Macaca mulatta: one gene and its partners. The protein of the gene in region 1 binds, or shares a complex with, the protein of each later gene. Links are inferred from orthologs where the notes say so. Each region holds a gene or a part of one and is shown in the gene's direction. Other genes may lie near its edges. The genes, in order: TIMM23, TIMM17B and TIMM17A.

Region 1 (4,326 bases):
CACCTGCCTCAGCCTCCCGAGTAGCTGGGATTACAGCCGCCCGCCACCACGCTCGGCTAATTTTTTTTGATTTTTAGTAGAGACGGGGTTTCACCACACTGGTAAGGCTGGTCTTGAGCTCCTGACCTCAGGTGATCCACCAACCCCCGTCTCCCAAAGTGCAGGGATTACAGGCGTAAACCACCGCGCCCGGCCTCAATTGCACTCCTGAAACACTCACTCACTTCCTCCTCATCTAACTTCTACTCATTCTAAACTCCTCAGAATAAGCATCTCATCTTCTGGAGGACTATTTTCGATCCCATAAATTAGGTTAGGTAGAACAATCTGTCCTTCATGTATCAGAACATCCATTACCTTTTATTATACTAACTTTTGCTATTGTCTCTCTCTCCAGATAGATTTTAAGGTATGAAGGCAGAGGCCAAGCTTCTCTTGTTCAACACTGCATGCCAGGGACGGGTACAATGCCAGCTTAGACTAACAGCTCTGCACCCTGGGACCCAGAATCTGAACAAGTGAAGTTGTTTTCTTCCTATCTAGAGGCCAAAGGGCCCTACTGTTTCACATACACAACTACATCTCCTTGACGACTAAGGCAATTTCTCAATCAAACCTGAAGAAGCAAACAGGTGGTGGAGTCTCCTGCCATTTTCCGCCCTGTGAGTGACTGCTCATCAGTTTCTCACAACAATAGCACTGGGAAAAATGCGGCCCCATTCACCCACTAGTGGCTTTGGTAGCTCAGCAAGTGGACCTCAGCATGATAATGCACACAAGACCAGAAAGGAGTGACTGGAGCCCCTGGGTCCTCAGACTGAGACCAGAAGGTTCCGGCCGAGGCGAAGAACAAATATTTTTATTTTCCCACGTACCAAGCGAGGTGGCGCTGCCTCTGTGCTGTCCCGCCCGCCCTGGGACGCAGGCTGGCGAGGACGGTGGGACCCTGAACTGCACGTGAGCGTCCTTGGGGTCGAGGACGCGCCTCTGCCTGCTGGGAAAGCTCCGGGCGTCCGAAGCAGCCGGCGAAGTTGGAGCGGCGCCCCAGCGGGGTCGCTTGGTGCAGGGTTCACAGCCGGGGCCCGCATTCATGCTGGGACCCGCAGCGCACTGTCCCCGGGCCGGCCCGGGCGGAGAGCCTCATTCACTAACCGTGAGAGGGATGGACTGCACCTCCTTCTCCGCGCCTCCCCGCACCATTCCCTCTCCGCTGCTTCCTGCTTCTGCAGTTGCTGACCGCGGGCCTCCAAAGTCAGGCCGTAAACAGTCTCCTGCAGTCCCTCTTCCACTGGCACCCCACCTGCCTCAGAATGCGCCGCTTTGATTCGTGATTCGTTCCCTTTCCCACCACCGGAAAGCTGCCGTCAGGCGCTTCCGGCTTCCGGGGCGCACACTGCCGCAAAGCGGAAGCGCGGCGCTTAGGGGGAACCGGCGCCCGGAAGGTCAGCGTGTGAAGGAGGCGCTAGCAACGCGGGGGTTACCCGCTGTTATTGAGGAGCAACGGCCCAGCGGACCACCCAGACTCGAGACAGCGGCGGGAACCACTCGGTTTGCTGAGATACCATGGAAGGAGGCGGGGGAAGCGGCAACAAAACCACAGGGGGATTGGCCGGCTTTTTCGGAGCCGGCGGAGCAGGTTACTCGCACGCGGATTTGGCTGGCGTCCCGCGTAAGTATGGGGCCTACCTTGCGATTATTTCTGACTGGTTCTTGCGTCTTCACTAAAGTTGCGCGTCCCATGTTTTATGTTTTTTTTCCTTTCTGGCATTTACAAGCTTCAGCACTAGTGGTGGGGTTAGTGTGTCTGCATGGCTGCTCTTTCAATATCGAAAGGCCTTAAAAAGGGCCACGGATCTCCCGGAGAAGCTGTCCGTGATTGACCTGGACTCGCGAGATGATGCATGTTTTCTTAGGTTTATATCCAAGCCTCGTGTCTTTTGTGTGGTGGGCCGTGTGATTGGCCCTTGATTAAGAGTAGAGCCCAGCTTTGGGAGTAAATGTATTCCAAATAGCAAGCCGTAGTTAACTTTTTAGTACACAGCGACGTATTCTGAACCCCCAAGTAGCCGTTAGGGCAGAACATTCAGTAGTATTGCATGTAAGTGAGAAATAAGTATGACTTGGGACAGGCTGGGAAACCATTTCTAGGAGCTAGGAAGTAAGCTGAACTTTAAAGGTGATATATATGCCACGTAAGAATTATAGGAAAGGAAATAAGCAACAACATAAAGGATACAGAGGCATAAATTCCTTGCCTTTGCCTCTCCTCAGTCTTGCGAATATGTATTCCAGAACTTTGGTACTTTGTAACTGTGGTTATTCAACTGGATAAATAGAACTTGGACCTAAAGATAGGCAGTTGGTCGTGGATAAAGCCTTTACGAAAGTACTTTCTTTTTAGAGAATCCTTGTAATATTTTTCTAGGTGTTTTATATTAAAGGACAGCAACAACAAAATATGTTCAGACTGACTAGCGCAAAAAAAATATAAAAGAAAAGACCTTTCATATCCCTGGTGTCACCTTTGTCAAAAAACGGAATCTACAACACAAGGTGTTCTGTTCTGTTCTGTTGTTTTTTTCTGTTTTTAGAGTCAGGACCTCGTTCTGTCACCCATGCTGGGGTGCTGTGGCATGATTATAGTTCACTGAAGCCTCGCACGTCTGAGCTGAAACAATCCTCCCCTTTAAGCCTCCTAAGTAGCTGGGACTCTAGACACGTGCCGCCACGCCTGGCTAATTTTTTTTTTTTTTTTAACTTATTATGGAAATGGGATCTCCCTGTGTTACCCAGGCTGGTCTCAGACTCTTGAGCTCAAGCCATTCTCCTGTCTCGGCCTCCCAAAGTGCTGGGGTTCCTAGGCCTGAGCTACCACTCTACCTGTTTAGAACACAGTTTCATATTAATCTTAATATCTCTGAGTTTCAGAGCACAAATGGCATACGCTTCCTTAATGTGACAATATTGTTACCTTAATATGATTAAGATTTGAAGGTAAATTGAGGGACCAGGGAATGAACACCATTTACTAAACTTTTACAATGTGCTAGCTAGTTTTCTGGGGGCAGGACTATAGTGGTTTTTTTGTGTTTTTTTGTTTTGTTTTGTTTTGAAAAGACTCTTGCACTCACAGAGCTTACATAATACTGAGGTAAGCCAACAAACATAAATTAAAACATTACAGTTAGTGGTAAGGGCTGTAAACGGGAATAAAGCAGAGTCATGAGATTGTGATGGAAGCAGGATGCCATTTTAGAACGGGTTAGGGAAAACGTCTTAAGGGAGTTGACATTTGAGCTGTGACCCAAATATAGTACAAATGCTTGGGAGGCAAGTATCCAGGAAATTAGCTAGTGCAAATGTCCTGAAACAAAACAAATTTGGTATGTTTAAGGAACAACTCTTAGGCCACTCTGTCTTCATAGTTACAAGGGAGTTGAATCAGCTGACGATTGTGAAATCAGAGAGGTAGGGAATGACAGCTAATGTAGGGTTTTGTAGGTTATGGTAAGGAGTTTGGATTTTCTTAAGAAAAATCACTGTAGTTGCTATGTAGACTGTGAGTTGAAGGGGCAAGAGAAAGCAAGGAGTTAGGTAGGAAGTTGTTGCTGTGAGATATGATGGTTGGACTAGGCTGGTAGCAATAGAGATAAGTAACAATTCAAAATAGGTGATGAAAATAGAATAAACAGGACTTATAATTGATGAAAAGATCAGAGGCATAGGTGATACATATATTTGTGAATTAACTGCTGAAATACAGAAGAATCCAAAGATTGATAGGTTTTACTGTTTTCAGTGTTAGTGAATTCAGGTCTGGCCCTCTGAAAGTTTGTATTTTCTTTTGCACAGACCCACATACCTATGGTAATGACCCAAGGATTCTCACCCTTGCCACAGTAAATCAATCCTTAATAGTAATATGTGAAGGAACTGCCTTGAAATACTTACATACAACATGTACATAGGCAGAAAACCCAACCCAACCACTCTTTTCCCCATGGAATTGATTAGTCTTTTCTCAGTCTTATTTTGCAATTTACATAGTCACCAAGCATTCTTCTAGTAAATTGAAAGAAATTAACTATAAATGGCCTAGGCTACACTTCCTGTAAGTTCAGTAATCTGATCTATGACACTGCAAATATCTTACCTGGTGTAAAAGCCTGAGCCACCAGTGGAAAACCTGGTTTGGGATTGAGGGTCTGAGGATATCCTGAGTCAGCCCCCAAACTGACAGGGAGGATAAAATGGGAAAAAATTTTCGCCTTCAGTGAGCCTATAAAAATTGCAAACACATGTAACAATCAGGAGCTGGATTAACTC
Region 2 (2,206 bases), on another chromosome or scaffold:
GTGAGGATCCGAGCCCCCCAGATTGGAGGTGAGGGACTTGGGGAGATAGATATAGGAGATGTCTTGGCAAAGGTGGGAGTGGTTGATCCTTTGGGTCTAGGCTGCAAGTTGGGGGTTCAGATTCTAGCCCCTGCGGGAGACTTTCCAGAGGGGTGATGTTTCCCAACAATTGAATATGGAGGGGAAGAAAGTGGGTTCTGGAATTTGAATCTAGGTCCTGACTATTCCCTGCCGTGGGACCTTGGGCTAGTGGCTTAACCTCTCTGAACCTCACCCGTACCAGGGGTGGTGATAACAGTAACCACTTCATTGGTAGTTTTAAAGTTTATGTAATTTATATACTACTAAGTGCTGGTTGCTATGCTAAACACTTTAATAACATTAACTAATATAAAATTGCAAAAGTCAAATAACACAGTACCTCAAACAGGTCCTGGCACACAGTAAGCCCTCAGTAAACATTTTAACTATCATATTAACTGGGTTTCCTATTTCCTTCTCACTGAAACCCAAATCAGAATTCCAACTCTGTGGTGATTATGAAGCTCAAAGTTGCTCTGTTAAAAGCCATATGAAGGTAAATCTGCTTGTAAACATTTGTCAGCTCCCCATAAAGGTGAAGGGAACGTTGATGGTGATCACAGACAGCTTGAAGTGGGAGCTACCACAGGATGGGGACAGATAGAAAATACTCTATGGGGGGTTGCTATCTGCCTTTGTGTCTGGGTTTTTCTCCCTGTTCTTGGCCAAAGCATTCAGGCCTTGGAAGTCCCCTGAGATGTGAATTCTCGGGATTTCCTACGAACTAATTAGGCCTCGGTTCCACTACAGGTAGCTTCGCAGTGTGGGGGGGCCTGTTCTCCACCATCGACTGTGGCCTGGTGCGGCTTCGGGGCAAGGAGGATCCCTGGAACTCTATCACCAGTGGAGCGTTGACCGGGGCTGTACTGGCTGCCCGCAGTGAGTACCCCCGGCCCTGGCCCCAGCCCCTTCCACCCTGTTCTGCCTGCCCTCACCTCTGTTTCTCTGCCTCCAACTCCCCCAGGTGGCCCACTGGCCATGGTGGGCTCAGCGATGATGGGGGGCATCCTGTTGGCCCTCATTGAGGGCGTTGGCATCCTCCTCACTCGCTACACGGCCCAGCAGTTCCGAAATGGTGAGTAACTCGTGGTCGGGGGAGTGGGAAATCCTCCACCTGGCCTCTTCCACTCATCCTTACCCGAGTCTCCCTTCTCCAGCGCCCCCATTCCTGGAGGACCCCAGCCAGCTGCCCCCTAAGGACGGCACCCCAGCCCCAGGCTATCCCAGCTATCAGCAGTACCACTGAGGAAGCCACTGCCACCATGGGAGCTGCTTCTCGGTTCCCTCCCCGATGATCTACCTCGAAGGGAGGGCTGGCTCCCAGTTAGCCCTGGGACCCTCCAGAGAGGGCTTCTACTCTGCTCCCTAGTCCCAGGGTGGGGGTGGGGCACCCCAGCTGCCCTGAAAGATGGGTCCCCTTTTTCTCTCTCAGGGCACCCCAGCCCCACACTCACATGTACGAAGTTCTCACCCCAGCTCCTTTGTGTGGCACCCTGATGAGTATTTAAAGTCTGTTTTGAAATGCCTATGTGTGGACTCCTTGAATTGCCTATGGGGCCCCTCCTTAGGACAAGGGGCAGAGCCTGCTTCAGGGACTTGGAAGCCCTAGGACTTGGAGGCCTACAGCAGATGGGCTCTAGTAAATGTCTGTGGGCTGGATGAGCAGGAAGGGAGAATGAAGATGTGAATTAGCGACATGAATAAGGTTGTCTGGGGCTGGGTGATGGGTCCTAGCTGTCAGAGGAACAAGCTTGGGAAAGAAGTGAATAAACACCAGGATTGCTGGGGGCGGGGGTGGTTCTAGACATTGTACCCCTGACCCCATCCCCCTACACACACCCCAATACCCCTGACCCCTGCTCCACAGCCCCTGTCGCCGAGGCTGGGAAATGTGGCCTCACAGGAGTCCCTTCTTTCTGGACACTCAGCACAGCATTTGTGAAGGTGATTTCCCTCCCTCCATGTGGCCTCAGGGTAGATCTGGGATGGAAGAAGAGGGCCAGGAGACCTAGCTCCCTCAAAGAAGGTGCCCTGGATCAGCCTCCCCTTCTGCCATAGAACTGCTTTTCTGCTCTCCTCTGCTCAGTATGGTCAAGTGTTTTTATTTGTTGTTTTGAGAAGGAGT
Region 3 (3,654 bases), on another chromosome or scaffold:
AACTTATTCTGGCAATGATTTTCAGGGGAAGGCTCTCCTGAGATTTTAGGCTCTCGTGAGGAAATGGGAGGGTCTTGCCAGAAAATTTTAGTGAGGTAATTCTAATACACCTAGACATCATAGCTGTCTCCCAGGGCATAGAACTACTGAGAAGAAATAACTGGTTTATTTTTACATAGGATGTGATATCTAATATTGGACTAAAAATGAGGACGCTTATGCTGTACTCCACTGGTACTATCCACTAGATTTAATTGATAATGTGAGAATTGGAAAAAGATCCTGGAGATGCTCTGGTTCAGACATTTGGTGGAACTCCATTTATTGCTCTTGTTAACACAAGTTACCTCCTACCCTAAGATTTCAAAGGGTAAAGATTAAAGTGACTGCTTTGTGCAGCTTTTCTTCTTTCTTTCTTTTCTTTTTTTGGCTAATCAAGTGGAGCAGTGAAAATGGAGACAACAAAGAAAGGGCCAGCCACTTTTTTCTTTAATCCTATTAAATATAATAACTTTATATGATGCAAGTCTTACGTATTCATTTTAGAAGACTTGGAAAATATAGAAAAACACAAAGGAATGAAATCATGTCACGTCATCCAGAAATGCTGACAATTAAAACCTTAGTGTTGTCTTTTTAGATTTTGTTTGTACTTGTATATGTATGTATGTGTGTGGGTCTTTGTTTATTTTGCGATACTGTTTTTGTATTTAGATAGAGTTTAAGTGCAAAGTAATCTGCTGATTTAAGGTTGTTTTAAATTCATATCTGAGGAATAAAGGATAGAAAGGCAATTTCCATCCCTTTGATGTTCCATAATTCTAGCTATTTATATCATTCATTTGCCCCTTCAGCATGTATTGGCTTAAACCTGTAATACATTCCAGAATAGCTGGATTTCTTTTGTTTTCCCATCGATAATTTTCATAGAGTAGATGCTCGATGACATATAATGAAGAAAGGCCAAAAATAGAGGTAAGTGAAGCTATGAAAGAAAAGGAGAAGGAAAGAGGAAGCAGAGTAGTTTGATTTTGTTTATTGCTACTTAAACCAGAGAGATAGGTTGTTCTGGAAAGGTGATTTGCTTGTTTTTACACATACGCAACCTGACTCTTTTAGGTATATTTTCTAATATACCTAGACATCATAGCTGTCTCCCAGGGCATAGAACTTGGCTTATTTCTTTTTTGTTTGTTTGAGATGGAGTGTCGCTCTTGTTGCCCAAGCTGGAGTGCAGTGGCATGATCTTGGCTCACTGCAACCTCTGCCTCCCGGGTTCAAGCGATTCTCCTGCCTCAGCCTCCCCAGTAGCTGGGATTACAGGTGCCCGCCACCACACCCGGCTAATTTTTATATTTTTAGTAGAGACGGGGTTTTGCCATGTTAGCCAGGCTGGTCTTGAACTCCTGGCCTAAGATGATCCACCCACTTCAGCTTCCCAAAGTGCTGGAATTACAGATGTGAGCCATGGCGCCTGGCTGGCTTATTTCTTTTAGGCTTTGGGCCATTGCTAATTTTCCAGCTGATACAATACAATCCAGCTTTATTCAAAAGATAAGTATTCTGACTCTTGTTCAGTGTTCATTCAAACTTGTGTTTGCATGTATTGGACTATAAGAGTTTTGAGAATATAGTGAGTGTTGTTTTTGACTTCATACTTTAAATGGAAGATGAAATTTAAATTAGTATTTGCTTGTTTCTTTTTACAATACAATAGGTAGCTTTGCAGTTTGGGGAGGCCTGTTTTCCATGATTGACTGTAGCATGGTTCAAGTCAGAGGAAAGGAAGATCCCTGGAACTCCATCACAAGTGGTGCCTTAACGGGAGCCATACTGGCAGCAAGAAGTAAGTAGTCATTATAGAAGTCACACTTTTTGGAAAACCTCATCTGCCTTAATTGAATGACATCTGTAATATATAAAACTGATTATTGACCAGGCACATTGGCTCATGACTGTAATTCCATCGCTTTGGGAGGCTGAGGCAGGTAGATTGCATGAGCCCAAGAGCTTGAGATCAGCCTGGGCAATATAGGAAGACCTGGTCTCTACAAAAAAAAAATGTAATTAGCTGGGTGTGTTGGTGCATGCCTATAGTCCCAGCTACTCATGAGGCTGAGGCAGGAGGATCCCTTGAGCCACCACACTCTATCCTGGGCAACAGAGCGAGACCCTGCTTCAAAAATAATAATAATTATAAAAAACGAGCATTGCTTAATTTGGCATAGCATAAATATACAGTATATGGTGATTTGAAAAAAAAAGTAAGGGGATCTCTTTATTTGGAATATTTAAGAATGAGAGAGCATGGAATTCTAACCCATATATTACAGTGGTTGAGAGCACTTCAGGTCCCAGTTCTGCCATTAATTAGCTGTATGACTGGTCAGTTTACCAAACTTTATGCTATAATTTCTTCACCAGTAATCTGGAGTTAGTTAATAATTATACCTGCCATATAGAATTGTTATGAATAAGGAAGTTAGAACCATCTTCTGGATCCTCAGGACAGAGAGCAAACCAGAATTCCTTTGAGCTTAGTGGTTTAGACCAAGGGGTTTGCGAACTATTTCTGTAAAAGGCCAGATAGTGAATATTTTAGGCTTTGCGGGTTATGTGGTCTTTGTCATAGCTACCTAACTCTGCTGTCATAGCATGAAAGCAGCCATGGATAATACATAAACGAAACAGTTTGGCTGTGTTTCAGTAAAACTTTATTTTTTTTCTTGAGACGGAGTCTCACTTTCACCCAGGCTGGAGTTCAGTGGCACAACCTTGGCTCACTGCAACATCCGCCTCCCGGGTTCAGGCAATTCTCCTGCCTCAGCCTCCTGAGAAGCTGGGACTACAGGTGCCCACCACCACTTCCGGCTAATTTTTGTATTTTTAGTAGAGACGGGGTTTCACCATGTTGGCCAGGCTAGTCTCAAACTCCTGACCTCATGATCTGCCCGCCTTGGCCTCCCAAAGTGCTGGGATTACAGGCATGAGCCACCACACCCGGCCTTTCAGTAAAACTTTATTTACAAAAACAGGCAGCGGGTGGCCTGTGGGCGGCCGTAGTTTACTGATTTTGGGTCTTAGGCAGTAAGAGTTTGGGAATTGGAGGAGCCTGTAGCCATATGGACAGTTCTCTTCTTTACTATCTCTTACAGTAAACTAGATTTCTGTAAAAAATAATCTCTTTGTTATTAATGTCTTCAGATGGACCAGTGGCCATGGTTGGGTCAGCTGCAATGGGTGGCATTCTCCTAGCTTTAATTGAAGGAGCTGGTATCTTGTTGACAAGATTTGCCTCTGCACAGTTTCCCAATGGTGAGTCTTCTTTTTGCTTAAAACTATAGCTCAGACGTTTTGGAATGGTTTTCTGATGTTAAGAAAGAACATACTTTGCCTGCTAAAATGTGTGGTATGTATTAATATGCTGTGGTTCATGAGGACTGTGATAATAGGTAAAAAATGAACATGTTACATTTAGTCACAATAACAAAAATTTTTTGTATAAATTTGCTGTTGATCTTTCTTTATAGTACTTAGGGTTTATCAGTGCTCATGTATTGCAATAAATGTCTGATCATTTTAAAGGGACTTGAAGAATGGATCTGCAGATGTGTAGCAATGATGATGGTCAATTGACAATTTAGTATTGTATAG

The links.
Region 2: TIMM23 (region 1) and TIMM17B share a complex: the UniProt entries of both Homo sapiens proteins name them as parts of the TIM23 complex. The link is inferred for Macaca mulatta from reciprocal best matches to the Homo sapiens genes TIMM23 and TIMM17B.
Region 3: TIMM23 (region 1) and TIMM17A share a complex: the UniProt entries of both Homo sapiens proteins name them as parts of the TIM23 complex. The link is inferred for Macaca mulatta from reciprocal best matches to the Homo sapiens genes TIMM23 and TIMM17A.

What each region holds. Positions count from the first base shown.
Region 1 is NC_133414.1:59,221,934-59,226,259, reverse strand, and holds the start of TIMM23 (mitochondrial import inner membrane translocase subunit Tim23), read left to right. Parts: upstream 1-1,440; 5' UTR 1,441-1,563; coding exon 1,564-1,669; intron 1,670-1,686; exon of another isoform or gene 1,687-1,844; intron 1,845-4,326. Other genes in the region: PARG (poly(ADP-ribose) glycohydrolase), read right to left, coding at 876-1,092. UniProt on the Homo sapiens protein: Essential component of the TIM23 complex, a complex that mediates the translocation of transit peptide-containing proteins across the mitochondrial inner membrane.
Region 2 is NC_133426.1:48,966,467-48,968,672, reverse strand, and holds the end of TIMM17B (mitochondrial import inner membrane translocase subunit Tim17-B), read left to right. Parts: coding exon 1-28; intron 29-831; coding exon 832-960; intron 961-1,045; coding exon 1,046-1,156; intron 1,157-1,238; coding exon 1,239-1,327; 3' UTR 1,328-1,607; downstream 1,608-2,206. UniProt on the Homo sapiens protein: Essential component of the TIM23 complex, a complex that mediates the translocation of transit peptide-containing proteins across the mitochondrial inner membrane.
Region 3 is NC_133406.1:59,621,495-59,625,148, forward strand, and holds part of TIMM17A (mitochondrial import inner membrane translocase subunit Tim17-A), read left to right. Parts: intron 1-1,717; coding exon 1,718-1,846; intron 1,847-3,204; coding exon 3,205-3,315; intron 3,316-3,654. UniProt on the Homo sapiens protein: Essential component of the TIM23 complex, a complex that mediates the translocation of transit peptide-containing proteins across the mitochondrial inner membrane.